Linked DNA regions of Lepisosteus oculatus. The protein of the gene in region 1 purifies or fractionates together with the protein of each later gene. This does not show direct contact. Links are inferred from orthologs where the notes say so. Each region holds a gene or a part of one and is shown in the gene's direction. Other genes may lie near its edges.

Region 1 (10,544 bases):
CCCTTCTGCTAGAGGGGCGGACTGCTGGGCTGTGAGGAGAGCGCGGACAGCCCTGGCGACGCTCTGTGACCCCCAGCAGCTGTAAACCGGGGACCCCGAGCCCCACCACCCCCCACCTGCAGTTCCCCAGCGAGCGGCTTGTCACGCCACACAGCGCCAGGCACACAGAGGAGCAGGCACAAACCCCGCCGTATCCGCGACGGGCTGGGCCTCGGGCTCCGCGCAGGGCCTGACGCGGACGCTCGCGGGGCGTGGCAGATGGTTTCAGCGGGGGGGAGAGCGTTGTGGTGTGGGTAAAATGCGCTGTTTCACTGTGTGTTTCTGGGTGGGGCGGGTGTTCCCTTTCTGAGGGCCAGGGCTGTGGAAATCGAACACAACCTTCCCTGCCCCTCCCACGCCGACAGAACAACCGGGTCACGGCCCCAGGGACAAACGCAGAACAACCAAGTGGAGAGAGAGAGAGAGGAAGGGGGGATTTATTCGTGCAGTTTGTCCAAAGTGCTGTGTGACCCACTTCCCCGGGTCGGTGTGGGCAGAGGACCCCGCCTGGCCCAGCCTAGCCCAACTGTGGCTCCAACTGTGGAACCACAGCTGACAGGACTGGACCCTCTGGGAGGTCAGAGGGCAATATTTCACTGAACAAGACGACCCCGCACTGAGGCGCGCTCGATGCACAGTACACTGTATCTGTATGGGACGTGTTCAGGGCCTGCGTGGAGGTCAGCAGGCACAGGCCGTGAATTTGTTTTTTTAACTGGAGAGGGTGTAAGAGCAGGTCACAGGTCACAGGTCACAGGTCAGGGAGAGCACTCAGTCCTGGTTATGCAATATTTAATGTCCGTTTTTAAAGATGCCTTTGTGTTTTTGTTTTTTGTTTTTTTTTGGATTTCTGTGTTGAGTAATAACTGTGGCCTTAAAGAGCTGGATTTCTGGATGAAGCAGCACAGAGCGTAGCCCCAGCGGTGTGGGAGCGTGCATGCGGACCCAGCACTGAGATACCCTGTCACTTCACAGACGGACCGGGTTCGAAAATCCTGGAACGCGTTCTTGTCCTCTGTAAATACCTGCACGTTAGCACCTGGATCTGGGTCAGTGCCCTACAGCTGCTGAGCTGCAGGATGTGCATTTAGAGACCAATGCCCAGTAGAACCGGTACTGCGAACAGCAGGCCCAGTTCGCCCGGTCGGAGCTCGGGTGTGGCTCTGCGTAGTTCTGGGAGTTTGTCAGTCTGTCTCTGCCTGCCTGGGCCCGTGTCTGCTTCTTTCAGAGGGTCAGAAATAGTCATAACACAGCTTGTCTACCCAAGAACATCCAAATAAACTAACTTAATGAAACGCATAGCAGTTGTGTTTTAAATCTTTAATCAATTTTGTGTTCTGTCATGAACCGTATCTGGGTCATTCACTGCAGTCCATTCATGGGTGTCTCACGCACATCTCGGTGTCTCCAGAAGAAGAGAATTTGAGCCCATTACCTGTCGGTCTGTGTATGAGGGTGTGTAAGGATACGTCTAGACAAAGAGCAGACTGACTGGTCTAGGACCCCCGATTGAAGTGACCCCTGTGCTCACAGTACAGGGTAAGAGTCACGTACTGGGAGCTGTGACTCAGTGGGATGTCCAGTCCAGTCTAAACTGTGTTCACCGGTGGCGCTGCTGCGTGCCGGACCACTGTCTGTGTTGGTGGAGCGGGAGAAAATTTCCCAAGGTCCAGAGCTGAGCGCACGTCTCTTATTTGTGGGGAATAAGTCATGACACCTTGAGGGAGCTTGTCTGGTCCACTCCAGACCTGTGTGGCAGGAAGGGGTGACCGAGCTGACCCCCCAGACCCCCTCACTCAGGGCTGCTCCTGCCCCCTCTGCCTCAGGGCGCTCAGCTCCGAGCTCCGAGCCCCGTCGATCAGCTCCAGCTCACGGATTTTCTGTGGAAGAGAGGAAACGGGATTTCACAGAGTGTCACGGTGTTCATGATGTCGCCCCTGATGATGCCATCAGCTCTGTTACCCGAGTGATGCAATGCTGATGACATCACTACATGTTCTCCAACTGCACTGATGACCCTTGTGATCTGATGCTGGTGATGTCATCGGTGTGTTGCAACGATCCGTGCACGATGACACGGTGCGATGATGTCAGCAGCACGGCGTCACCTCTGTTACCTGGGAGATCTCCGTGCTGATGATGGTCTGGTACTCCTTCCCTCTTCCCAGCGCAGTCATCTCCTCCAGGAACTGCCGTCTCTCCTCGATCTCGTCCAGCACTGAGACGGGACGAAGACGCGGAGGGTCAGACTCTCGGCAGCGGTGATTCTTGAAACACTGAATCGAACTTTTACAAATCAGAAGTGCTCCAGCGTGGGACAGTCTTGCACATGTGATCAGGGTGATGAAAAAGGGAAGACCCTATATGGGTATTAGTGACTTTTTCATATTTTGCATCCATGTTTTGGTTGGCTGGGACTGCTACACATCATCACTGCCTGGTCTGGCAGATCCCTTTATGGAAAGCAGAGGTTAGGCAAGCGATGGAGAGGTCTAGCAAACCATGCAAACTGCTGGCTCGGGCCAGTCGGTGCTCCTCCTCACCCTCCTGGAAGCGATCCCTCCCCGGGGTAGCTTCTGTCCCGGCAGCGGCCGGCAGGGGGGGCGGCGGACCGGGCTCCTCGCGCCCCGTGGCCAGCAGGCTCTGCAGACGCCTCTTCTCCTTCTCCGGGTCTCCTGGGAGTTCAAGAGGAGGAGAGAGAGGGCACGGCTGAGCTCTGAGCTCTGCGCTCTGCTGCGCTGCAGGGCACAGCCCAGCCAGGAGAGGCCCCAGGCCTGCCCTGTGTGCCGCTGCGCTGGACAGCTGGACCGCTGGACCGTTGGACCCGGTTCTGGTGCTGTAGCTCGCGGGGTGCGGCCAACTCACGTGTGGGTCTGGGGCGGAACCTCTCCCTCTGGTAGCTGTCCCCGGCCTGACACTGTTCGGCGCTGCGCCGCTGGGGCTTGAAGGCGGGGCTCGGGCCTGCCCTTGGCTGGGGTCTGGGAGCTGCGGCTGGGGCTCTGGGTACTTCGCTGGAGGTGGGGTGACAGCGCGGCGGGAGGGCGCCCCCTTCTGGCAGAGGAAAGCAACACCAGCAATGGTGCATGAAAACCGTGCTGAACCACAGCGTGGAAGACGAGTAGATGTCACTGCAGGTCTGCACGGGCATGAAACTGAAGCCCCCTACCCGAGACCTTGAGACCCAACCCGACCGAGCCCGAATGGTACTGCCTAATTTGAAGCCCGAACCTGACCAGAACCCGAAATCGATCACTGTCTTTTCCTCTCGGGGCGAGCAGACACACGTGCGCACACGGAGACGGATTCTCACAAACACAGTTCTGCAATGCGAGCGTGCAAAATAGGTTATGAATCTCTTCCAATAAAAATACATTTTATGACATAAAATAATAATAATTCATTTTCACTTATTAGAAAACAGACCCAAGCCCCTCATTGCGCAGAGGCGAGTGCGGCGTGAACACCAGCTCTGCCCACCCGCGGGGTCGGACAGGGGTCACCAGAGAGGAACCGCAGGACCCCGTTCAGGAGTCGTGTTTAAAAACAACCACCCCCCCCCCCCGTGACTCAGGGTGGGTGTGATTTGGAAAAGGTAATGAGCTCAGGCGAGACGAGGAGCGCAGATCCTGGCACGCCTGTGGGAGGGTATGCCAGGGCGTGTCTGGCGAGTCGCGCGATCGGGACAGTCCCCGCCGGCGGCGGGTTCCAGGACTCACTCTGCAGCCTCTCGCCGATCTGTCTCTCCTGGAAGCGGGTCAGCCGGGATTCCTGCATCATCACTGCAACAGGACACAAGTCAGGCTGTCAGGCCCCCCGACCCGGGGTCACACGCACACCCAGACACCATCAGATCACGCTACCTTCCTCTCCACGACGGCGGAACCGTCCCAGACTCTCTGGGCTCCACTATGCTATAGTCCAAGCCTGCACTGCAGGAGGCTGGAGGAAACCAGAGACCTACAGCACCACGTTGAGAACTCACGCCAACCCGTGGAGGAACATGCAGACTCCACGCAGACAGGCGGCAAGCTGGGATCTTGTCCTGCCGTCTGCAGCTGTGACGCAGCACCGACGCCCCGCCCCCCCTCAAGCACTGAATGGGCAAACGCACACGCCGGGGGACACACACTCGGACCCACATTCGGGACACTCGCCTCTCAGGAGCTCCTGGGTCTCCTGGCTGTACTGGGGCACACGGGGGCAGTTCCACAGGCCGCCCCCGGCTCCTGGGAGCTGAGCTCTGTCTCTGGAGGACATCAGACGCAGGGTCCTGCACACAGGAGCACACAGGGGTTAAGACAACACAACCATTTCCTTTATCCTATTCAGGGCCCTGGGGAAGCCAGAACCTATCCCAGCAAGCTCCGGGCGCAAGGCAGGATACACCCAGGATGGGACGCCAGTCCATCGCAGAGCGCACACACTCACACCTGGGCCAGTTCTGCTGGTACCCAGTTAATCGACCAGCATTTTTCTGGACTGTGGGAGGAAACCAGAGCACCCGGAGGAAACCCACACAAACACGGGGAGAACATGCAGACTCCACACAGACAGCACTCGGGGTCGGGGATCGAACCCGGGGCCCCAGCGCTGGAAAGCAGCAATGCTACCTGCTGCGTCAAGGTGCCGCCCTTAACTTGCTGTGCGCAGCACAAACTTTCAACATGCAGCAGAGTTCAGGACGAGCTTGCGTGCCGAGAAAGAGCTGACTGTTGGGAAACGAGTCAGGTGAAGGGAGCAGTGAGCAGTCCAAGAACACAGGAACAATACCGGGCCTCGTGCCCAAGCCTCTGGAGCAACAAGATCTCTCTGTGGCTAAAACTGGGGGACAGGTAAAGTATAATAGCTGGAAAAGGTGTCTGTTCTGCAGCGAACGAGCTATAAAGCTGTCAGGACTGGAGGCAGGCTGCCGAGTCATCACTGTCCCAGTGAAAGCGCCTGGGGGTGAAGGCAGAAAGCTGCCTCTCCAGAGGCTGCAGGGAACAGCCCTTTCTCTGTCCTGTTCCCGTCTCCCCAGGCTTGTTTCTTACCACTGCACTGCACACTGCTCCTGTACCCCCAGACTCCCTGTACCCCCTGCACACTGCACCTGTACCCCCAGACTCCCTGTACCCCCTGGCCACTGCTCCTGTACCCCCAGACTCCCTGTACCCCCTGCCCACTGCTCCTGTACCCCCAGACTCCCTGTACCCCTGTCCACTGCTCCTGTAGCCCCAGACTCCCTGTACCTCCTGCCCACTGCTCCTGTACCCCCAGACTCCCTGTACCCCCTGTCCACTGCTCCTGTACCCCCAGACTCCCTGTACCCCTGTCCTGAAGTTTATGACCTCACTCCCCTCCCTCTCCTGTACTTACTGGATTGTCCCAGATGGGAAATTTGCTTTGCAGGCAAGTAAGACAATTTAACACAAACCCATTAACAAATAAGAGACATTCATGTACAATGAGAAAAAACACAAATATATGAGGTAAAATGTACATCCAATTGTCCCCATTGAGCCGGATCATAGCCGTGGGAATAAAAGATGTTCTACTGAATCTGGGCGGTCTAAACTGAAGTCATCTCTAACTTTATTTCTCATTTTACCCCCGTGACTGTTTCTGGTACTTTCACTTAACATTCATTTCGTGTAGAGCGTCACTCCGGAGAAGAACATTATAATTACAGTAACCACCCTCTGTTGTGAGACATTTGCAAATTGAATACTTATGAACTACGTTCACTCACGCAATTCTGGTCTATTAACTGTGTATTCATAAATATCGCCCCATGGTTTGAATTGCAATAGCTACACTGCCTCTCCTATAGCTACAGTGATGCTGTGCAGGACGGGAGAACGGCCGCAAGCTGCACCAAGCGTTACCCTGAAAATCATCCCCGACACGAGCTTATGAACCGCTGATATGAACTGCAGAAAGACAGACATCTCACCCGGTATCGTCTCCAGTCCGCACACAGCCTGGCAGCGCGACTTCCGGCCAGGACGCCGAGCCCTGCTGCCATGGCAACGGCGGGGCCTTGACGTCACGCCATGACCCCTCCCCGCCGCCACCCGAAACAGGTTGTTAAAGAAAATTGTTCCTGCAAAGTAACCGAGTTCCACAGACTTCTCTTCTAAGGCATTTATATGTTATTTCGTCTGCTGTCGCCTATTGTTATATGTTTTCTCTTAATGTTTATAAATAAAGCTTTCAGTAATGGGAACCTAGTGGGTATTAATAGGTCATATGGTATGAAATCAGTTATTTTCTTTAATCGCTTTGAAAATATTTTCACATGCTGTTTGGTAAAAGGCTGTTATTAGGTACGTTTTACTTCGAAAAGTGGCATTTATTATGCTAAAAGTTTCATATTGTTATGTTAAAGTAACAAATGTCATTTTTTAACTGTGTTATATATTTGTACTACTGTGTCAGCAGTTATAATGCCCTATTCTGAACAAACTCTCAAGAAAATTCCGCAATCAATAGAAGAAATCCGGGTCATTAACAGAAAACTGACAGTACAGCAACTGTGCTGTTTGACCCGGAAGTTGTCTTGCCTGGGGCGGAAGTGAAAGGAGGACGGCGTGGTGCTGAGGAGGAGGCGGGTTGTTTGTGCCGAGTGTGTTTAGTCGTTTTTCGGCTGCTTAAAATACTGCTGCAAGTTTTCCTCTGAATTCCTCACGCTTGCGGGTGAGAGATGTCTGACAACGAGGACAAGTAAGCGAATCCCCGTGTTTCTGAAAGGTTTCATTCGGGGGTGTTTACCGTCCGTGTAGCTCGCAGTTTCCGCGAATCCCGAGATCAGTGCGTATGTGAGTGAGATGGACGACAGATTTTGAACCACATCAGCTGGATTATTAAATATTTATTCTGATAGCTGGTTCTCCCCTGGCCGCCTTCTCCGTGGCGTTAAGAGGCTGCAGGTTTTCTCTCTCGGGCTTCATCGATCTTACCTGCGGTCCGACGAGACGATGCCGGACGGGTCCTGAGCCCCGAACTCGCCCTGTTGATTCTGACGTTCCCAGCCGGATGACCCACAAACCCCTTCTCCTCAGCCCCTGAGGACAGCCCCCCCGGCGGCTTGCGCCCGTCTGCAGCGGGGCGACCTGACCCTCCTCTTCCTCCCTGTCTTTCAGCTTCGACGACGGAGATTTCGACGATGTCGAGGAGGATGAAGGGCTGGACGATTTGGAGAACCCGGAGGATGTGAGTGTTTCTCACCTGGGCCTTGTCTTGGGACCCTGTTTCTCTGGCAGCGGGGCGCTGTGACGTGAACCCCACCTCTCTCTCTGTGACCTGACCCCCTCTCTCTCTATAATGTGAACCCCGCTCTCTCTCTGTGGTGTGAACCCCTCTGTCTCTCCCTGTCCGCAGGAGGATCAGGAGAACGTGCAGATCCTGCCAGCAGGGGAGGGCCAGCAGGCCAACCAGAAGCGCATCACCACCCCCTACATGACCAAGTACGAGAGGGCCAGGGTGCTGGGCACCCGGGCGCTGCAGATCGCGTGAGTGGCCACCCGTCTCCTGTCTGCAGCTCCCCTGGTCCAGACCCGTCTCCCCGTCCCGGGTCGGTCTGCACGTCTCCCCGTTGGGCTGGACAGAGCGTTGCTTGACTCTGAGTGTGACCAGTTCGGCTGACTCAGTCTTGGCCAGCTGGACATACACGAGGATGGCCGGCGCTGCGTTGGGGTTATAAAGGCGCCCTGGAAAATAAGAGGGTTCTAGAGCATGGCGGCGCTGGGGGTCCACAGAGGGACCCGTACGCCACATGACCTCAGTTCTACGCCTCCCTGAGCCGCGCCCTGACTCCCTGCGTCCCTGGAGAACTTTGTTCCTGCAGGAAAGGACTCCCGTGCGGAGTTCTTGATCTGTTGCTTCTGCCTTGAGCTGATCTGGAGAGAGAGACCGACAGCGGGGTGGTTCTCGAAACTGGCCCCCCCTCCCGGTCTCGCTCCTGTGGGTGTCGCTGCGGCTCCAGGGTGGAGAGCGCGCGGCAGTCTCCTTTCACAAAGAGGGGCGGGAGGGTGGAGCAGGAATCCAGTCCGTCGCACCGTCCCGTGTTCTCCAGGCAGTGTCGTTCTCACGCCTTCCCTCCCTCCCCTCTCTCTCGGCAGGATGTGTGCCCCCGTGATGGTGGAGCTGGAAGGAGAGACGGACCCTCTCCAGATCGCCATGAAGGAGCTGAAGTGAGTGCTGGGGGGAGGGGGAGGAGGAGCAACAGGTGTTTCTACTCTGTGCCCACCAGGGTGGGTGGAAGGAACGCAGCACTCGAGAGCAGGTCGTTTTCCCCACCCAGCAGGTTAGGCTGCTCATAACGAATAGTTGGTAGGGATCTCACCCAGCTGTTTCTTGAACAGCCCTGGAGGGGGAGATGTCTTCAACGGGGCCTGGAAACGAGTTCCAGACACCCAACACTCTTGGCGTAGAAAGGAAGTCTGGAACCGCGCTTCCTTGCTGTGTGCGGCGTAGGCTCAGTAAGCCCGTCTGTGTGCTCCCTGGGAGATGGTGGAGGCCTGTGGGCCCACGGCGTGATGTAAAAGCACCGGAGTCCGGACTCTCGGCTTCCCGGCTCCGTGACCTGTCTCTCCGTGTGTGAAATTCCCAGGGGGTTTCTGTGGCTGGCGGGTATTCCAGAGTCGTGCGTCTCCATGGCAGCGGACGGCGGCAGGGGCCCCTCCCGCCTCCTGTCTCCGCGCCCGAGTGCCAGGCGTTCCCGGAGCGGCGCAGGGGAATTCCGCAGCTATGTGGGGATTTTTCAGGATTCGCGGTCTGCCTGCAGTCGCCGTCTGGCCTGGCCGCCGGAGCCCGGCACCCGCTCTCCGGGTGATGGGGCCGGGAATGTCGGGGCGCCTCCGGGATGGCCGGAGATCGGGAGCCTTGCTTCCTTGCGCCTCGTCCCCTCCTCTGTCCTGAGTGAGAGGAGGGCGGGGGAGAAACCGGCGAGCTGTTTTTGGGGTTCCCTTCGCAGTGGCTGGGGTTCGGGTCTGGGGCCCCAGTAAAATCCCCCCACTGTGTGAAGAGCGAGAAAACGTAAACGGGGCGCAGGATGGGTCGCTGGCTCCGAGGGGGGTGAAGGGGGGAGGCTTGGGGGTCGCGTGGCCTCGGGTTCGAAGGAGAGGGGGTGTGTGCCCGCGCCTCACGGCTCTCGGTCCGTCTCCGTGCCCCCACAGGAGCCGGAAGATCCCCATCATCATCCGGCGCTACCTCCCGGACGGCAGCTACGAGGACTGGGGCTGCGACGAGCTCATCATCACGGACTGAGGGGCGCCGGCCCCCGAGCGGAGCCGGGCCGGGCCCCGCGTTCCTGACCCCTCCTCCCGCCTCCTCCAGTTCCCCTCCCGCTCCTCCTCCTGGCTCGCGGAGTTCCCCCCGAAGAGGAACGGCAGCTGGCGGCGGGAAAGGCCGGGAATTTGATCCCAGTTCCTGGAAGCCACAGACCCTCCTCTTCGGGACAGACAGCCGGGCTGACTGGCTGACCGGTCAGTACCGTCACCTCGTCCGGCGGGATCGGAGGACAGGACAACGTCTTCCTGACGGGCCGAGCAGGGAGCTCGGGAATGATGTGAGAGTCCGAGCTTGGATCACATCACATCACGTGAGGTTTTAGCTCCAATCCCGCAGTGTGGACACCCCACCCCGTTTTAACTCCAGTTTTCCTTCTGCTGTGCACTTGGATGGCGGCTGTGGCCACAGAGCTCCACCAGGGGGCGTTAATATTTCAGAGAAAACCAGGTCTGGCGCTCGGCTCTCCTGTGCATTTCAGTGATTTACAGTTTGTAAAAATGTGTATATTTTTTGTTATCGGAATAAAAATGGCAAAATTCCTAAGGTGCGATTCCCTGATTTCATGTTACGACTGGTACAGTTTCTGGAGTTTCTTTCACAGGGGGTTTTGGACTTGTTGCCGATGTGAGAGACTCCTAAATTGGCAATTAAGCGCTCCAGAACTGGATTGCTGATTCTGATCGTGTCCGTCAGGGATTTGCCCAGTCTGGGTCTGTGACCTCTGGTTTCCCATGATGCTCCAGTCCTCTCCCCACACACCAGCTCCCAGTGGGGAAGAGAGCAGAGTGATGGAGCCAGTTCAGAGAGGGGGGTTATTGGGAGGCCATGACTGGTAAAGGCCAGGGGGGAAATTTTGCCAGGACACTGGGGTAACACCCCTACTCTTTTCGAGAAACTCCCTGGGATGTTTAATGATCACAGAGTGTCAGAACCTCTGTCTTCCCCTTCTCGGGTGGAATGAGGAACACGCCCCCCCCCCCCCAATCCCGTCCACTTCCTGCTGGCGGAGTAGCGTGCCGAGAGCCCGACTCCGCGCTGGCACGGCGCCCTGCAGGCTGGCAGCACAGGCTTGGCTGCCTCTCGCTCGGAAAGGTGAAAATCGCTCTCGTCTCGAAACGGTAACCCAATCCCCTTGTTGTATACGTGCGCACGGACTGCTGTGTGTGTGTATGTATTTGTTTTACCTGAAGCAAGAGCGTTGAGTCACTCCAGCTTTCCTCTGGAACTTGGTGTTC
Region 2 (9,581 bases), on another chromosome or scaffold:
ACAGCGGTTCCCTCGAGGGGAGGGGGCTGCACGGCCCCCCTCCTCCACCTGCTCCGTACAACCGCCCCAGGCCAGAGCTGGGCCTGGCCGCGCCCCGAAAGGAGGGGAGCCCACAGGACGCGCCCAGACATGGGGGCCTCGTGCTGGCCCGGCGGAGAGCGGCCGGCGACGGGGGCGCAGAGTCTCACCTGGCGCGGGCGGGGGGGGCGGCACGTCCGGCATCTCGCTGCCCAGGCGAGGGAGGACGAACACCCCCATGCCGTTCAGCTTGGAGACCGCTGGCGGAGACACAGAGAAGAGCAGGTTTCCGGGGTGCCCAGCGGCAAGGGGAGAGACCCCTCGAGACTCGGAACGGCAAGTGAAAACAAGCCTTCTGCACCCCAGTGCACTGTACACATTGCTATTTAGCATGCTCAAGTGATGAATAACCTTCACCCAGGAGACATGAAGATCTCACCCCTGTTCCCCACAGGTGTATGGGTGTGTGTGATCCACAGGTCAGTGCAGCTCTCTGCCTCCGAGACCCACCAGGAAACAGCCAGCTGCTGCTCTGTCCCCAAGGAACGCTTACTTTCCCTAAGCTGGACCGGACTGGGCTGTATTGTCCCTCATTCTCTGTGCTTAAATTTCGGGGGAGGAGTGCCATACCTTGTTTCTGACCATCTGGGTAGAGGATCTCTTCTTTCCTGGCAAGGAGATCCTCCTCCTTCTCCGAGAGAGCTTCCAGTTCCTCCTCGATCTCCTCCAGCTCCGATTTCTTCCCCGATCCGTCTGCTAGACACCAGAATGCGTTATTTGGACACTGAATGAACAGTGGCACGAGGACAAATTTAACAATCGGCCAAAGCACAGCTCGGGTCTTGGCAAGAAACCTGGCTTTAAAAGAAAATCGGCGGGCGTGTGTGTTGTTAAAACAGCGGGTGCCGGGGGCCGGGGACCAGGGGACCTTTCTTCTTCCTGCCAGAAGGGGCGATGATCTTGGTGTCCTCCTGGAAGCTCTGCAGCATGGACAGCAGCGCTCGCCGGTCATTCAGCTGCTGGGTCTTGAGCTGCAGCCGCCTCAGCTCCTGCTCGATCTCCTGCAGCTCCTGCAGCTCCTGCGGGCTGGGCATGCTGTGGCCACCTCCTGGGGACGAGACGAGGAGCTGAGGGAAAACGGAACGCCGAGCACAGGCCCCTGGGGGCCAGCAGGCTGGCCAGCTGGTTACTCTACCTCGGGCCGCGTGGTCTCACTGCAGCATCGAGCTCAGCAGGGCTTTAATCACAGGGCCCAACATCCAGACCTTCACTGCTGACACAACTCTCCCCCCACCGCGCCCCAGGCAGTAAGAGAAAGAGCAAAGCTCCCAAGCAAACCCTCCTCAGGACAGAAGGCGGACCAGCTTCAACAGGACGTTGAAACCGCGGCGCAGAGAAGAGGCCAGGCAGCCACACTCCGCTTCCAGCCTGGGGGTCGATGGACTTCTGCTCCCGCATTGTTCCGATCAGGGTCGGGCACACCGGACAGGATGCCAGTCCCCTGCAGGGCACACCCATGACCCTAACCAGCAAGTCTGTGGGAGATGAGAAAACTCACCCCACCCCCAGGGAGAACACCCGAAAGAACTGAACCCAGGACCCAAGAGCAGCAGTGAATTGGCAGTACTAACCCCCCCCACCCCGGTGCCAGCTTTCGAAAGTACAGGTTCGTGCCAACAGTGTGCATACCACGTTAACCAGCAGAAACACAGCAAAAAAATCTATACGTACATTCACTGGGAGGCAGATGCAGTTGTCTCAAGTCCATTGTGAAATATAAATACGATCAAATGATTTTTATTTTTGCACTCAAGCAACATATAAGCACACGAAAAGCTTAATTAAATGTATTCCCCAATTCTCCACCCTTCCATCGTACTGTACATCTTCAACAGCGCTTGATTTAATAGATAAAGATGTTTCCATTGCCCAAGACTTTAATGTTCTCAAGTGTTAAATAACCTTTATACACAAAAGCTGAAGATCTCACCTCTCTTCAAGCCAGGCGAGAGAAGCTTGTCTGTGCAACCCGAAGCTCAGTGCAGCTCTGCGACTCCAGGAAATAGACACCTGCTCTTTGCCCAGTATAGAGAGGAGAAAAAACTGTTGCAAACACCATATTTAAAGTATGTGGTATAGTACAGTGTCCTTAACACCTTCACTTATACTTTAAAACGAGGCATGAGATCAGTAAAAACAATGTTAGTATACACATCTTCGGCTGTATAACACACTGCTATATACATCTATGCCCTAGGAACCCCCAAATCCCACCAAATCCCTGTATATATGAAGGATGGGGAATTCAAAGAAGCATCTAATTTGTTTGCTGTAATGTTCACTGAACTGTAAATACCACAGGGGACAAAGGGCCATCTCATCTGCCCAAACCAGGGAACGTCATTGAACAACGCACACTCAACAAGTGGAGCACTGCAGTTTTTTAATGCGGATTTTTCACTTGACAATTTTTTTTTACACAGAGAAATCAATGTACAACCATCTACAAAATGTGAAAAAATACAGTTTTTTATGAAATCTCTATAAAACAAACCTAATGACACAACAGTCATACAAAGCTTTCTCAGTGTACAGAGCTGAACGCTGGAGTGAGCAGAGGTGTATAGCTCTTCAAGGGGAGTGAGATGATCCTCACAGCTCCGTCTCTGCACACCTAAATCAACAAAACGTCCAGAGAATGACACGCTGACATTCTGTTAACAACACTAGCTTACCTGAAACAAACTAGCACTTTAAAGACAGCAAGTCATGGAGTACAGGTTTATCTTAAGTGGGCTGAACTCCGTTCGTTACATCACTGGGTGCAATGTGTTTAACATTCTGCGATACATAATCCACTAGCGTCACCGAGAATTCAAAACAATGTCGGGTTCTGATGTCGGCGATGTAAAACTTCAAAAAGACTCGTAAATCAGGACACACAAACTGCCGGGGCTTGACCAGCACAGTGAGCGCACAGTCGCCATTATAAACTTTCAAAGATCTGATAGACATTTCCTTACAACACTTCATTTTGCATCTTTCAGATTTCCAGAACACGGCTCTGTATCGGTCATTTGGACTGTGAAAAAGCCTTAGAAAATGAGTATATAAAGGCTGAATCAATTCCTCAAGCACAGTGAAGAGAACTAATTTGAATATGAAGACATATATTCAAATGCGGTCTACATTTGAACTTTTTTTTTTGGCTTGGTGTTATTTATAACCCGGGTACCAAACAGGTCAGACTTCAGGAAGCAAGGCACCAGTAGCACCTCAGAAATGCCTGTGTTGCATGCATCCCACAGGGCCGAACTGAGCGTAGAGGAAAAGGAACCCAACTCGGGCAGAACTTCTTAAGTAACTGGTAAATCTGTAAGACGCTACCTTGTTTTACTTTTTCCTCAGTTTCTTGCCAAAAGTCACTTCATCTCTGTTCCTTATGCCGTAACTGTGCAAAGAAAAGAGAGAGAGTTTTCAGGACAAAGCTCTGGGGTTCCACACAAAGAACTCTCTCTGAGCAAACCTGAAAGTGAGGTTATTCCACACAGTTTTACCTCTCAACAAAATAACACAATCTCCACCCCCGCCTGCTGCTGTCTCCTTTAAAACCCAGTAGCAACAAAGCACCTGGGATGGTCTGGTTCGAATGAGCCCTAAACCGATCGGTTATCTGCACATCGCCACATTCTGCGATACATAATCCACTGTTGTGTCCCTCGCTTCACAGCTCACAGAGCACAGACACTCACACTCATCAGCAATGCCAGGGAAGGGGAATGTTTGTTTTTACTTACTCCTTCAGCTTCATTTTGTCGTCTTCCAGCTTCTCCCCGTTGAAGATTAAGTGATAGGTTCTCCACACGTACCTCCTTGAAAAGGCAGAAATCGGAAAGGACGAGCGATGAAGTTTACCTCGCACAATTACGCACAGGATGTGAAAGAAAGATCAATGTTAAAATGACCCTACAGTGATGTCTGACTTTAAAGTAATTCACGCTTCAGCGTCTTATCCCAGAGTTTTTACAAAAAAAGCATGCAGGATCTCTAGTATTTGACCATGTTGTCAAAAGGAAAAATTCCCCCGACTCCAGTCTAGACCGTTTTATTGTATTTTTCGACTGCAGGACACTCTACCAGCTGATGTGCTTCACCCCTCCTTCACGCTGCTGTTTCAGCTCCAGGTATCTGCGGATGGCTTTCTTCAGATCCAGCACGGAGGCGTTCTGCACCACCACGATCGCTGCAAGAAAGCACCGCTGTCTGAAAAAGAATCCCTCCTCTCATTTTCAAGTTTTCTTACGATCTTTAACTACCTCAACCCAGAGGGTCGATGAACCTGTCCTACACGCCTGTACTGAGTAGCTTAAATCACTCCGGAGTCGCTTTCACATCTTGTGGTTCACTAGTGACTGTGAATTCAAACAGCTGACAGCCACTGGGCCTGACCAAGTCAGTGACCCAACAACCCCACAGAGAAGCATCTGGTTGCCTGATTTCCTGCGGATCATACAACAGGTTAAGAGGGGGGAAAAAGCCAAGAAACAAAAACTCGTGACTCACGCATGACCTCCCCGTCGGCCTTGCAGACACGCACAGTCATAGCCTGGCCATACTCCAGAGCCACCTGAGAGCTCACCTCCTCCAGAGTGACCTGGAGTGACAGAAAGCCAGGCAGGAGGGTTCAGCTGTGGAACGCTCAGTCCCGAGTCCCAGAGGGTCGTGGGTTTGAAGGGTTTCAAAGTCATATTGGGTTATTCCCCCACCCCACCCCAGCTTCACAGCTTTCACACTTTTTCTATGCTGCAGCCACACGTGCCCTCCTGTTTCATGTCAGACAGGGATTGCTGCCAAATCTGTCTTGCTGGGTTACACAGCTTATCCAGGATCCAGAAGCCGACGAGGCAGATAAACCAACCTGTATCGGCAGGTCGCAGAGCAGGGGGTCCTGCACTATCTGAGCCAGACCTTCCTCGAAGATGTCCAGGAACTCCGCGTGGGGCAGGGCTTCCTCATCTTCCTCTTCCTCCTCCTCCTCGACTTTTTTGTCCTCCGTCTCTAGCTCTCCGGTCTGGTCCTCCTCTTTCACCGCCGCTCCTGCACCGAGACCCGGGGAACCTGTCTCCACCGCCTCGGCCATCAGCACTCGGGGGGATGAACACACAGCGGGGCCGAGTAGACCTTAAAACAGGCCCTCCATTCAAACCCACACCGGCGGACTGCAATGAACAGACTCTGTGTGCAACATGACAAGGGGTCATCACTCATCACGGCCAGACGAGAAGAATTTTAAATCAATGCTTAATGGTTGCACTGAACACAACTCGGTCTATCATGAATCAACTAGATCAATTCTGACAAGTATATTCACGTCAAGTCCAGTTATTGCAGAGTATTCATCACACCTCCAAAGAAAAACCGCCACCTTTATAAAATGAGACGCTAAATAGCACTCACCACTGCTTCTCCTCCGCTGTCTTCCAAAACGGACGCTTAAACAATTCTCGGGTCCGTTCATTTTCACTTCCCCGGAGAAACTAGGCGACTCTTGTACCTAGGACACTGATACTCACAAATATGGAATATGCCATAGACAAAAAGTAACCTAATACATTTATACATTACCTAATATATTTCTGATTTGATAGTGGTTTAAACTGTTAACAGTTTCGACCACAAATGCGACTCGTTTGCAGGCGCTGTGGGAACTGTCTGAGTCAGGAATTGTTTCCTAGCGGACACTTAAAACTGCGTGACACGGGAGAGTTTGCGGCGTGCAGTTTGAGGAATTCGCGAAAAACTCGTCTTGAGGTTCGAAGACGTCTTTTTCAACAAATACAGTTGTTTTTCTTCTGAGATAGGAGATGTTGCTGTTCTGTCCGACCTGTGGAAATGTCTTGATTGTGGAAGAAGGGCAGAAGTGTTACAGGTTTGCGTGTAACACCTGTCCCTATATACACAACATAACTAGGAAGGTAAGAGAGTCGACAAGGCTCTTGTTACATTGCGTAGGGTCTCTATCATCGTGCCTGAGTCGTATACTTTAGTATTTTAAGACGTTTGTTATATTTTAATAATTGCGTTTGCTCATTGGGTATAGATGCGTCACAAGCAAACATATTCAGCGGTCCAAATTATGATGCAGCTTTTTGCTAACATTGTGTATCATTTTGGATTCATTTCTCTTACATTTTTTCCCCACTATCTCGAGTCAAGCGCAGTAGTTGGGCTGTACCCCCCCCCAGTGGCTGAATCTTCCTGCTGCTCCTCCTTCACGGGGGCAGCCGAATCCTGCGTGAAAGTAAAATCGTTTAATGAGTTTGTGGAAACCTGGTTTAACCCCCGCCCACCCTGGCTGAGGGCTACCCTCCCGGCCATGGGGCGAGGAGACTAAGACCCCATGCCCGGTGAAAAGGTGACCAAGGTGTAGTTGCACAAGCAAAGATGGGGATGGAGGAGTAGGGATGCGAAGCGAGCGAGGGAGACAACAGAGTGGCGTGGGGTATATATGGGAATCTGAGAATTTATGGCAGGATTAGTTGCGTGTGGAGTTTAATTAGTTTAATTTAATGGCGCTATGCGTGCGCCTCCGAGAGTATTCTCATGGGCGAATGTCACCTGAAAAAAAAAAAGACCATCGGGACCCCTATAATCTGGGCGAAAGGTCTAGAAGGTCTGCAGGGCGGGTGGTGCTCTGCGTGTAAGACACCCGTCTTGCTCGTCTTCCTGACGCAGCGTGTTCTCGATGCTGTAGGTCACCAACAGAAAGTACCCCAAACTGAAGGAGGTTGATGACGTTCTGGGCGGCGCTGCGGCCTGGGAGAATGTGGATTCCACTCCAGGTAATGTCACTCGAGAAAGGGGAAAACAAATCCCCGTTTTTCGTTATTCGTTGTCTAGTGCAAATGTGCCGTGGGCCAAAGATGGGGAAAATCCCGCATTTTTCCCGAGGTGTCCAGTGGTGCGAGTCAGGAAGTCCGGTGCCAATCCTACACCATTTTGTCATCTGCTACCTCTGGTGTCTTCTTTCCAGAGACCTGCCCGAAGTGCGAGCACCCCCGGGCCTACTTTATGCAGATCCAGACCCGTTCGGCAGATGAGCCCATGACCACCTTCTACAAGTGTTGCAACCAGCAGTGTGGGCACCGCTGGAGAGACTGAACGCCGCAGGGACCGGCCCTCGCCTCGCTGTCTGATCCCCCGCTGTGTGTTAAACCTCTTAGAACAGGCATGCTGGCCGTCCCCCCCCCAGGTTAGCGGCCATCGGAAATTCTCATGTGTACTCCAAGTGAAGGAGCCATGCTAAGTTTTTGAACAAATAATTAACGGTCCTGTGGCATCTAAAGAATCACTTCGTTGAAGTGATTCAGGATCCCCAGCCGAGATATAGCAAAAACACCGTAGGGCTGCAATTGAAACATGACACTTGTCTGTCTTGAATATTCCCAGGGAAGTTCTTGGTGTTGGATGCTGAAAGGGCTCTGAGGAATGAGCAGACAGCCTGTTCTGTGCCAGACAGACCTGTTGTGGAGTAGCTCTGGTTGTAGTCGTATTAAGCTATTTAATACGTGTATATATTTGAACAAAGTTCACCGCACTGAAGAGATTACCGGGTGAAATATGAGAGGAAATGTGAAGCTGTCATTCTTTTACAGGTCTTGAAGTGAGCAGAATAAAACTGTGTCGAGTGATCCTGTGTTCAAAACCGCTGGTCATTCAGAACCAACATATTCTTAGAAAGCTAAAGGAAAGAGGCTGGTTCTCGCTTTGCTTTTTGTTTTTATTGTTAAAAGAATAATTTAGTATCCAGTGCAGTAGTAGTGGAGCAGCTCGCATGGCTCATCTTACGCAGCAGTGTAATTTACATGGCAACACAGATAGAAACAGAGAATACCGGTGACTGGATTGAAGGTGATCTCATTGTCTTTTCCTAAAAAAATACTTGTGCACTTCAACCCACCTTTAACATCACAGCCTTTCCACAGCACTGCAAGCCACTTCACATTGCGTACAGAGAGGGCTGGAGCGTACAATGTCAAAGGAGGCCAGCCTGCTTTTGCAAAATATCCATAAGAAGCTCGAACATGCACTGCCATGGGACATTTACGATATATCATCAATTCATTTTTACTAGCTGCAGCCGATAGGCTTTTTCAGACTTTGAAACATGCTAGGTAGTTAATAGCATAGTTTAAAAAATAGAAATATACTGGAAATAAACATACCTAAAAAATGTAATTAGAATGGAATAATTAAGGTCTGAATGGCCGACAGAAGCAACAATGTATTTTTCATTGAGTGCTTACTGGCAGGTGGCTCCACGGACAAACCACAAATCTTTTTCTTTACCACATTCAAAAGGTTTTGCACCCTGCAGTGTTCCTGCTTGATATCATTGGGCATTTGTGAAGAGGCTTGATCCTTGACACTTGGTCAAAGTTGCGTAATCCTGCACATTGGTGGCGGTGGAGGGGAGTCCCCATTACCTGTAAAGCGCTTTATAAGTGTAAGCAATTATTATTTTATACCAGGAAGCAGAGTTTCATCAAAACAGCTACTTTGTGAGTGTAGTGAAAACATTAAGAAAAAATGTGAAATGCTACATATGTATTTCACCCAGACATAAGCAAGAACTTAACGCATTTCATACCATGACTTGTGGCAGTCAGACAGAACCAATAAAGTTATTCCTTAACAGAGTTGGTGCTTGGAATTATCTTATTGGTCTAAATGTCATCTAATTTTATGGCGAAGAAACTACTGAAAACCCTCTTTATTCAACACACTGCATAGGACTGGAGTGAAGAACACGTTTCCTATCTCGCGCCTGTGAAGAACATGCATCTGTGCTAGTCTGCAGTGATGCAAGTGGACCCGGTGACAGCTATGTGACACAGCATTGTGCAAGAAAGATTCTGTTAGCGGAATGGATCAGAGGCTCCAGAACAGCCGCTTACAGTACACTAGGTGGACACAGAGGTAAGAGCAGCTGGCGGGTCGTGCTGGTGTATCGCTGTCATCATATCCAGAAACAACAATGCTGGAGCACAGGGCTAAAGCAGCTTTCTTCTAAAACAACTCAAGGATCACAGTCCTAGAAACCTAGTCTTTGTCCTGGAAAGCATGTCAGAAAAGCACTACAGAATCTCTCTTTCAGTGATAGCAGGGCTAAAATAGCTCACACTTTTACTGCACTTTCCCAGTGGCAGCATGTAAATTCATCAACAGTGAGTGAAAACAAGCACACTGGGACTACAACACACACATGAATTCCAGAGATGGTCTGTGAGGAAAGGAGAAAGGAGGAAAAAAAGGTGATGCAAACAGCACAGAAAGTGAATAACCCTTAACTACCGGCAGAGAGAATTCAGCCTGCAACTTAATGAATTAAAGGGAATAATACTGATTGAGCTTCTGAGTGCCAGTTTGGTGTCAAGGTAGCATTCAGTAATGCTGCTTGAGTAAAAGGCTTTCTGATTAATACATTGGGTACAGATGACAGTCAGGAGACGTTCTCCATCTGAACTTGAGTGGGGTTTCCCCGATGTATGCCTGCAAGTGCA
Region 3 (9,526 bases), on another chromosome or scaffold:
TATTTTTGGGAAATGTTGTCCCGAGTTACATGGGAAGAGTACAAACTTTTATCCCGTAAGGTTACTTGGAATAGATGCTTTTTAACCCTCTAGGCTAAGAGTACACTTCTTCTATCATCTTGCCCATGTCCTATTACAATATATACTGCAAACTCATACACAAGCACATTTATATAGTGTCACTGTAAATAGTACTGATGCCTTCTACACCATAAATTGATAATTAAGTAGAACTCAACAAAAATGCTTAAATTCACAAATTTGTATATTTTATACCTTGATTGATACATTGTTTTATAAAAATACAAATAGAAGAACACTTCTAAATTTTGAGTTGAATTAACAATACTAGACTATAGCGAGAGCAAGGTATGTCCTTCACATCGCTTGGCTTTGCAGGGAAGTGAAGTGAAAGGAATTAGAGAATTATAAAAGCTCAGCATATGAGATGAGCAGTGCCACTGGTTTTCAAAATACTCCAGGGATATTAGTTCTCATGTACAAACACCTTGCCATGTACTTTACTTCTAAGCTTGGCTGTTTCCAGATGTTAAATGACACCTATACCAGACATTTACAAAAGGTCATGCACATTACATATTTGTTCCTTTATTTAACGCGTGTTGCTCCCTTTTTTATAAAAGGAAAAAATAAAAACATTCATGATGTAAAAAAAAGCAATATAAATAATAAAAAATATGTGTTGGTGGAAATGTAATATTCTGGCTTCTCGATTCAATCTTGAATAAAATAATCCAATACGTTATTCGCAGAGTTGAGTTATCTGAAGTAAACAACAAATGGAACTTGCTGGATGGTTTCAGAACACAAACAGATAACATCACAGATAAGTCACATATCTGCATTACTGAATGATATGTAATGATCACCAAACTGCTCAATCCCACTGCAGTACAATAAACAAAACCACTGAGCTATGGAACCCACTGCAGAGCAATAATCTAAGATCAAACTGCTGCCCAGTGCTCTTGCTCATGAAGATTTTAAACATGCAGCTGCTCAGCACTCTACCACATTCTGAACAACAGAACTCCAGGACAGATCTACTCAACAAACTTCAGCACAGCAAGACCAAGGCAATGAACAAACTGCTGACCAGAATTCTTGAATGTGGAGATGCTAAACACACTGTAACCCAACACTTTCAACAATTTCTACTGAGCTCACTGTACCACAGAATGCTCTCAGAGCTACTGAACATACTGCAGTCCAGTTTTTTTTTACATTTAGCTCCTGAAATACATTGCGTATGACATCCACTACAAAACATCCTGCTACCTAACACTCTGTATTACTCAAACAAGCACACTAACTTTCACATTAGCTACTCAAGCCCAACTAATTAACCTTACACAAACTTGATGTTGTAAATGGAAAGTTACCCTTGGATGAGATCAGTGCCAGAAGGATGGGGGACTGTTAATTCCTTACCTTCGTGCAGCAAAGATTATGTGGTCAGCCCTGATCTGAAATAAAACCACTCTTCAGATCTGATTTGAGAGAGACCGCAGTGAATTCTTTTCGTCGTCTGTAGTGGATGATGGATCCCTCAGGAACACTGATTACAAAGTGAAGCGAGCCTTGTATTTCTCTCTCTCTATTTCACTATCCTTCTCAGTTGCCCAGCAGCTCTGTCAAAACACTGCGTGCTTCAGTGCTGCATAGCTGCATTGCCCAAATTTGCACCAATCTCACTGCTATAAACATGTACACACGCACATACAAGCACACAATCAAGAGAACAGCTCCCCTAACCTCTATCAATGCCCCCCCCCCACCACCACCACCCCCACTCACAGTGCCCTGGCCAATGAGCCAATGAGCTCTCTCCTGTGCTCATATTTACAGTATCAGATAAACCTTATAACAGTTTATAACACAGAGGTAACAAAATAACAAACACTATTATGCAATTTGTACTTATTGTCCAAAACTGCCATCTTATCAGCATTTGAAAGATAATCTATATCAGTGGTGGGCAGGAATAACAGGTACCCCATTTTTTTTTACATAAATGTGGACCCAGCCTGAATCAAATTCAGTCCAGGCTAGAGGCTCCACTGCCAGAGTCCTGAGAGGCTAACCAGATGCTACACCATATGGAGATCTCTATAGGAAACTCAAAATCCATACAGTTAACTTAGTTTCAGCTACAGTTAAGGCCAGTATTGCATTGGATACAATATGTGTGTTGCTGTAAGGTGTTTTTCTATGAAGTATTTATCTGTGTCCCTCTTCTCTGCCTTCTTTTCCTGTTCAAAGTATATCCAAATTGGGGAAAATCCCATGTACTGGGGCTCTGAGGCCGTAATTCAGCTCCTTTCAGATAACATCATTCCCTACTACATCTCCAACAGCAAAAGATCAAACAACCAACAGAGTACAGGTTACGTGTCATAAGAAAACCAAGTACAAGTGCTTTGAGAAAGACTGAATGTAAGTGATTGGAGAACTACTCAAACTACAAATAACTTCAAATTAACGCACGGCGATTTGACAGCCCACTCAAAATGGTTTAAGACAGTTTTCTGAGAAAATCTTTTTATAGCAATAATGGTTCTTCTAATGGTATTATCAGAATTGTTTTGTATTATTATTATTATTATTATTATTATTATTATTATTATTATTATTATTATTATTATTATTGACCATAGACTGTTTCTGATTGTAATGCAATATGCACGTCTATGCAGGGGGAATAGCGATTAATCTAGGGTGTAGTTTGGAGTCACTGTGTAAACTTTACCATAAAAATTCGCTACGATAACAGTTTATCAGCGATGTGCTCAAGAGAGCGTATAGGCAATCGTGCTCACGTTATTGACAGCGTAGTTCAGCATAACCATCCAGCCGCAAGTGATAACATCGCTGAACCTCGGCAATGTCTCATCTCTCCCCTGCCGGCCGCGGTACACCGAACTCATCAAAGGCAAATTAAACCATCTGTCTTTGAACGGCCGTGACAGGAAGGCAAGGGCGAAGCTGGGGCGAGAGATCCTTGGACTCAGTCAGTTCGAATTTGTCTGCAGTCTGTACCCGTGGTGCAGATTGGGACCGACAGGGATCGTCAGCTATTAGCACTGCGGCAGCTCCGAAATTAATCCGCCTAGAACATTATAAAACAAGTGGCTAAATTAGACATTGGAGCTTGTTGTTGGGCTAAAAAGACAAACGATGAATAGCTGAACGATAAACCACGGATAACAGTCAAAATGCCCTGTTCTTGTCATAGAAATAAGGCAGCGTCTGAGTTTCTAACATGTTGAAATTCGCAAATACTTGTGCCTACAATTACTGTACAGTATGTCTATTAAATTACTGATTCCTGAGTAAGGCGAACAGGTCTTTAGCAAGCAATGCGGTATTAGTCTTATTGTGGTTAAATGTGTGGTGGCTACAATACGCTCTACGCATTGCAAAGCACAAATACGAACATTTGAAAGATAATTATGATATACAATTATGATGTCTCAGTAGTAGAATATTAACAGAATAGCTTTCTGTGTCATAATTTAAACCTGCAGGGCTTTGTTTTGCATCATCATCATAATAATATATGCCTAGAAAATTACATAACGAGTGTATAGGCACCTTAATATGGGTATCAAGATAATGTGGAGTGTTAGATTGCAAAAACATACTGTAGCCTTGATGCAGATTATCATTGAGGGCCAAAGTGTGTAAATCCTGATTATTTAGGTATTGCAATTCTGACTTTTCATTATATTTTATTCTTTATAGTTTATGTTTGTAAATAACACAAGAAAGACAGTAGACAACATATTACTATAATGTAATAATAGTTGAATCCTCTTCTGTCATCCTCTGCATTCATTACATACTATTATCAACAATTTGCCTACATTTTATCAATGATAGTAGGTTTCATTAAATTAAGACTCAGTAATCTGTTAATTGAAGGAAATCCACTAAGACTGTTTTTTAAAAAAATAGTTAAAAATCAGGAAATGAGTGAAAGACAAAAAAGAGCACTAATGGAAGATTCACACTGAAAATAAATATAAAGACAATGAAAATGAAGTTATCACATATAACTACAACAAATTTGCATAGTTTTTAAATGTGCTGACTTTTTTTTCCAGAAACATAGGTAAATTAATTATTCTGATGATCATTTGCTACCAAGAGTGGGTTGTACTGCAAAACTCACAGGCTAGTAGTGTGTGTGGCCACAGACCATACAAGCTGACATTCTGTGACGCATGCTTTGCAGAGCAAAGCAAAATCACAAGGCTGCAGTTATGGCCTTGTGGGATTCTGTGCCAATCCCTCTTGCAGATCCTTTAAGCCACATGGCTGTTCACTGGTCTCTGAACTCCAGTTCAACAATCATCTATAACTGTCTCTGTTCAACTGGGCACAAACGTTCAATGAGGTTCACATCTAGTGTGGGAATCCCAGGCGTTACAGTCACATTTTCACCTTGCCAGAAAGCCATTGTTATATGAGTAGTTTGAGGACATACATTGTCCTGTTGGAATGTTGTCAAGACAGGATGTACCTGTAGGAAACGCAGTAGGAAAGTGGGGTCCCACGACTTAATCAGTTAGATTGCTGTCAGACAGAGTTCTGAAGTAATAATAATAATAATAATAATAATAATAATAATAATAATAATAATAATAATAATAGATGTGACTAGATACTCCTGTCTGGACCTTCACTCTTGGTCCTCTGCATCGATTGGTCTGTTGTGCACTACAATAAGTGTGTCAGCTTGCTGACATTAATCAGAGTGGTCTACACAAAACCTTGAATAGTCTTTAAAGAGAATTTGGCTTCATTGCTGGCAAGGTGCTATATAAATTTTCTAGAGAGTGGTACACGCCATATGTGTTACAACAAATATATAAGAGGTGCATATATAATAAACATTACAATGTCATAAATATTACAAGGTAGAAGTGTACATTTGTCGTTGTATAATGCAAAACAATATAGTAGGACACATCGTAAACATAGGAATATAGATCTCCTACACAGTATCAAACGTATTTCATAGGAAACTTTACTTGACCTTAAGGCGATTCACACATCCCCACATTAGGTGGCAGCACCATACAAGAGTGAGGAAATTTTGCATACCACTTCATTGAAAGAACAACTCTTCTTTTGGTTTGCCGACATGGCTGCTCAATTTTTTTCTGATGAGATACACAACCTGAGCAACCTGTGTGATCTAGTGACGAAATTGCTGAGAATTTTAACTTCAAAAGGTACAACCTTATCTCAGCAGCGGAACGGTAGTGTAATTTGAACAAAACTATTCTAGAAACAACATTGCCCTTACAAACATGGTGGCTAGCACAGGCGAGCAAGGTGAAAGTTCAAAGGGAAAAGTCCAACATCAGTCTGTCATGGTGGTTTTTGCATGAGTTAGGTGTATGTGTGACTCAGATTGTAAAAAAAACCCGACAAAAATAGTGCATTTCAGCTGGTGACGATTTATTTTCAGTATCATTTGTACTGGTTTTGTATCTGAAATACATTTGGAAGAGAAGTCTTTATCGTTTTCTTTCCAGTTCAGGTAAATGAAGTGATTTACATGTGTAGCCAGCTTGTTGTATATGTAACAGGATCGAGCGAGTTCAAGTAGATGGCGAAAAGCGAATTCATTTTAAAATTTTCATCACAACGTTATTTGCTGTTCGTGTAGTACTCTTTCGTTGGCCGAAGAGCTCCGCAGAAGAGAGCGGAGTGAAGTTAGTGTATGGTACTGTAAGGTTTTCTAGTCCTGGACAGGACGAGGCCAGGAGAATAGTCTCAGTGAAAGTTTCACTTTAACTAAAAGATCACGTCTTCGGTCAGTTGCCTCATTTTTAACAGTTGCCCAATCGATTATCCTTGTTGCTTTTCAGAACTAGAGTTACAGACCTCTCCTGTTAGTGGCTGACTATAAATTTCATCATAAATATTTTTCTAAAGATTAAGTACAAATTAGAATTTGTGCTACGTGGATCACACTGATGTGTTTGAGGATGCGCATCACATGAGCCCCTTTTTCTCAGCGACTGGTCATTTCTTTTAATGGTGCCATTGTGGCAAAGTGAATTGTTAGTAAGGAGTTCCTCACGCCTGTTTCTCAGTCGCTCTTATTCTCCATCTTTTCTCTGCTGCAGTGGTGTGATTGTGCAGCGATGTCAGACCCTTGTGGTGGGGATCCCTTGCCCCCAGGGGTGTCTCGGCCTGCGCTGCCCGGAAGGAGACTCCCTGCCCCTGTTGTGACGGGACGCCTGCCCTCCATGCGTTCTCGCGACCTCACCCTGGGGGGTGTGAAGAAGGTAGGAGTGAATAGACAGAGCATGCAGCTCCCCAATTACATAGCAGATTGGTCAGAGACAGATTTTATGAGGTGCAGTGCCATCTGGACTGATGAAGTTCTTGGATGTGTTAATGTAGGTGCAGTAGAATCGAGTGGAGCTGTGCTAATCAAAATACTAACTTTAATATTTCTTGCAACATTTTAGCAAGTGAAATATTCCAGTTGCTTTGCAACAGTTTTCTGAATAAATAGCTGAAGGCATCTTTGGGGTAAGCCTGTCATATGCAGTGTCTTGCACTTCTCCGACCAGTATATTTTTGACGCTAAAAAAATTGTGAGGTGTCCTGTTATGCTTCACTTGGCATCTGGGGGTGAGGGGGCAAAGCAGGAACATTAAGGATCTGCGCCTGTGACTGTAAGGTTGCCGGTTCAAATCCCGCGGCTGGCAGAGGAATCCTACTCCGTTGGGCCCCTGAGGAAGGCCCTTAACCCTAACTGCTCCAGGGGTGCCGTACAATGGCTGACCCTGCGCTCTGACCCCAAGCTTCACTCCCTGTCTGTGTGTCTGTGTCTCCATGGAGAAAAGCTGGGGTATACGAAAAGACGAATTCCTAATGCAAGAAATTGTATAGGGCTAATAAAGAAACATTATTATTATTATTATTATTATTATTATTATTATTATTATTATTATTAAACTGTTTTTCTGATGAGTTTAAAAATCTGTTTCATGTCCTTCTGGTAAAGAAGGTTGAGAACATAAAGTCAACTAGATCTAGGTCTACATATTAGTCTACTAATAGGTGACTGTGACTGGTAATTTAGTGTTGATCTCGCATAATACCTGAACATTCATAGTATATATTTTACCTGTTATAAAAATGCTGCATGGCAATTTTAGTGTCACATGTACTATCTGTTGCCTAAGAATCCGGAAAACCAGGAATGCTAAAGAAATTTCTAAACTTTCAAGCATTCAGACTTTTGACTTTTGTTATTTGTCCCATTTTTATTTGGTTGCTGTTGGATGAGTTTTAGATGGCATAAATCTCAGATGTCACAGGCCCAATCAGTGTCTTTTTTTCTGTATCTTACAGAAAACTTTCACCCCCAATATCATCAGCCGCAAAGCCAAGGAAGAGTAAGTAAATTATCTTTTATAGACAAGTACCACTAGGTCTCTTCCACAGAGTTCATAATGAGAACTAGGCCTAAATGGAAAAAAAAAATATTATAGTCAGATCAGCCTTCACTGGTTTGTTGTATATTTTAAGTACTTCATCTGTATTACATTTTTTTTTCAATCTAAAAAGCTTAGCAAAACATGAAGAAAGACTCAAGTCTAGTAGCAAACTTGCATTTGCAAGCATAATTTAACATTTTTGGTTAGAGTGAATCCAGTGTCTATGTGCATGTTGTCTATCTATCCACAAAAGCCTGTGATTTTACAATGACAACCACAAAACAGAGCCAGTACCAAAATAGCATTGTTTGCGAGGCTGGACTTATGAATTATGCAGGGCGTGAGAGGGCAGGAAGTTCAGACAAGATGGCAGCCTTTATCTGGACTACATGACCCAATAAACTGGGGGGACAGAGCTGCTGTCCTCAGTCACCTGAACAGTTGTTGTAAGAGAGGTGGTCATACAACAGTTTAAAAGCAGGAAGCAAAGGCTTCCAGGGTTGGTCATATCTGCTGTCTGGAGGACAGACGGCAGAGCTTCTGAGATACAAACCCACAAGTTCCTTTTACCCCTCGGTCTGTCACATCCATCTCCCTTCTCTCTTGCTGCTTGGAGGGACTGCCTAGGCCTAGACAGTGGAGGAGATTGGTACTATTAACAAGGGAGGAAAATCCTTTCTTTACTGTGTGTTGGGAAGTGTTTGGGTACATGATGTCACCACTGCATTTCTGCATTCCAACAGGCAGAAGGTGGAGGGCCACCAGAAGAAGGAGAGGAAGGAGAGAGAGAGGGATCGTCAGCGGGATGGGCGAGGAAGGGGTCGGGGACGCCCTGAGATCATTCAGTCCCACTCCATTTTTGAGCAAGGCCCTGCCGAGATGATGATGAAAAAGAGGGGTGAGAAAGGCATCTCCTCTTTGCATGTACTCCCAGGAATACCAGAGAGCTTAGCTATGAAGTGCACACCTCTCTGGTTGTCTGGTTTGATTTCAGAAAGCATTCAGTTACTTTTCTGCTCCTACTTTCTTTTTTACTTTTTTTTAATGAGGAGTCCTTTGACAACCTGGCTGTAATAATAGTTTTAATGTTGTTAGAAATGTGGTAGTGATAAAGCTAAACTAGAAAAAATCAGTGCACAAGTTTTTTAAACAAATGCCCCTTCATGAACATATAAAGAAATTACTCTTAAGCAAAATTTGTTTAATGAGTGATGAGTTTATGTATATACAGTCTGTGGCATTTAGCATTGTTACTGGGCAAAAAAGCAATATTTGAATTCAGAAATTTTCATTTTATGTTTTTTTTCTTTTAATTTTATTTTGAAATAATGGAGTGGGTGGCATGGTGGCACAGTGATTAGTATGGCTTTTCTGACCTGGGGTGCTGTCTGTTTGGAGTTTGTGTGTTCTCCCTGTGTTTGCGTGGGTTTCCTCTGGGTGCTCCAATTTCCTTTCACAGTCCAATAACATGCTGGTAGATGAATTGGCTTCTCAGAAAATTGGCCTTAGCTGTGAGTGTTTGCATGTCTGCTCTGTGATGGACTGGCTTCATTCAGATTGTGCCCTGTCTTGTGCCCATTGCTTGCCGTGATAGACTTCAGCTCCCCCGCGACCCTGAATTAGAAGATGCAGTTATTGCAGTAAGTGGATGGATAATTAATAGATTTATAATGGTGACACCTAGTGGAAGGTAAGAGAATGTCATGTAATCCCAAAGAATTCCCAAAGTGCTTGAGACAGGATGGGACCTGCTTCTTCCACCACTGAAGTGCCAAAACCACATGAGTGACATCTCATGTGACAACCATTAGTGCCAGCAGTCCGGCTGCTCTGCAGATTAGTGAGAAATTGCTTCACTGGCTGAATTCAGGGGGAACATTATGGAGGCTGGATTGTGGAATTTAGCTTGGACACTGGGGTTAACATTCAGCACATCAGTAGGCACTTCTAGTAATTTTTCATAAAGAATAAGTAGTAAAACCTCAATTTAAAGTATGATTTGAAAGATAAAGTCTCCTTCTCCACAGTATCTCCTG

What was found.
Region 2: the proteins of polr2f (region 1) and polr3k purify together in Homo sapiens (affinity purification with mass spectrometry; 5 studies listed by BioGRID and IntAct, with this or other methods). This does not show direct contact. The link is inferred for Lepisosteus oculatus from reciprocal best matches to the Homo sapiens genes POLR2F and POLR3K.
Region 3: the proteins of polr2f (region 1) and polr3d purify together in Homo sapiens (affinity purification with mass spectrometry; 5 studies listed by BioGRID and IntAct, with this or other methods). This does not show direct contact. The link is inferred for Lepisosteus oculatus from reciprocal best matches to the Homo sapiens genes POLR2F and POLR3D.

Annotation. Positions count from the first base shown.
Region 1 is NC_090707.1:38,685,792-38,696,335, forward strand, and holds polr2f (DNA-directed RNA polymerases I, II, and III subunit RPABC2), read left to right. Parts: upstream 1-6,575; 5' UTR 6,576-6,721; coding exon 6,722-6,741; intron 6,742-6,977; exon of another isoform or gene 6,978-7,035; intron 7,036-7,160; coding exon 7,161-7,230; intron 7,231-7,398; coding exon 7,399-7,529; intron 7,530-8,138; coding exon 8,139-8,210; intron 8,211-9,194; coding exon 9,195-9,285; 3' UTR 9,286-9,852; downstream 9,853-10,544. Other genes in the region: c12h22orf23 (UPF0193 protein EVG1), read right to left, coding at 1,836-1,919, 2,157-2,257, 2,583-2,714, 2,905-3,090, 3,756-3,818, 4,194-4,296. UniProt on the Homo sapiens protein: DNA-dependent RNA polymerase catalyzes the transcription of DNA into RNA using the four ribonucleoside triphosphates as substrates.
Region 2 is NC_090714.1:15,976,612-15,986,192, forward strand, and holds polr3k (DNA-directed RNA polymerase III subunit RPC10), read left to right. Parts: upstream 1-5,657; 5' UTR 5,658-5,697; coding exon 5,698-5,829; exon of another isoform or gene 5,830-5,882; coding exon of another isoform or gene 5,883-5,993; intron 5,994-6,772; coding exon 6,773-6,860; intron 6,861-7,051; coding exon 7,052-7,179; 3' UTR 7,180-7,709; downstream 7,710-9,581. Other genes in the region: uncharacterized protein, read right to left, coding at 189-278, 649-1,030; snrnp25 (U11/U12 small nuclear ribonucleoprotein 25 kDa protein), read right to left, coding at 3,412-3,469, 3,816-3,890, 4,156-4,261, 4,582-4,672, 4,937-5,158. UniProt on the Homo sapiens protein: Core component of RNA polymerase III (Pol III) which synthesizes small non-coding RNAs using the four ribonucleoside triphosphates as substrates. Can mediate Pol I proofreading of the nascent RNA transcript.
Region 3 is NC_090697.1:62,941,775-62,951,300, reverse strand, and holds the start of polr3d (DNA-directed RNA polymerase III subunit RPC4), read left to right. Parts: upstream 1-5,154; 5' UTR 5,155-5,261; intron 5,262-5,371; exon of another isoform or gene 5,372-5,572; intron 5,573-6,164; 5' UTR 6,165-6,182; coding exon 6,183-6,326; intron 6,327-7,404; coding exon 7,405-7,448; intron 7,449-8,233; coding exon 8,234-8,388; intron 8,389-9,526. UniProt on the Homo sapiens protein: DNA-dependent RNA polymerase catalyzes the transcription of DNA into RNA using the four ribonucleoside triphosphates as substrates.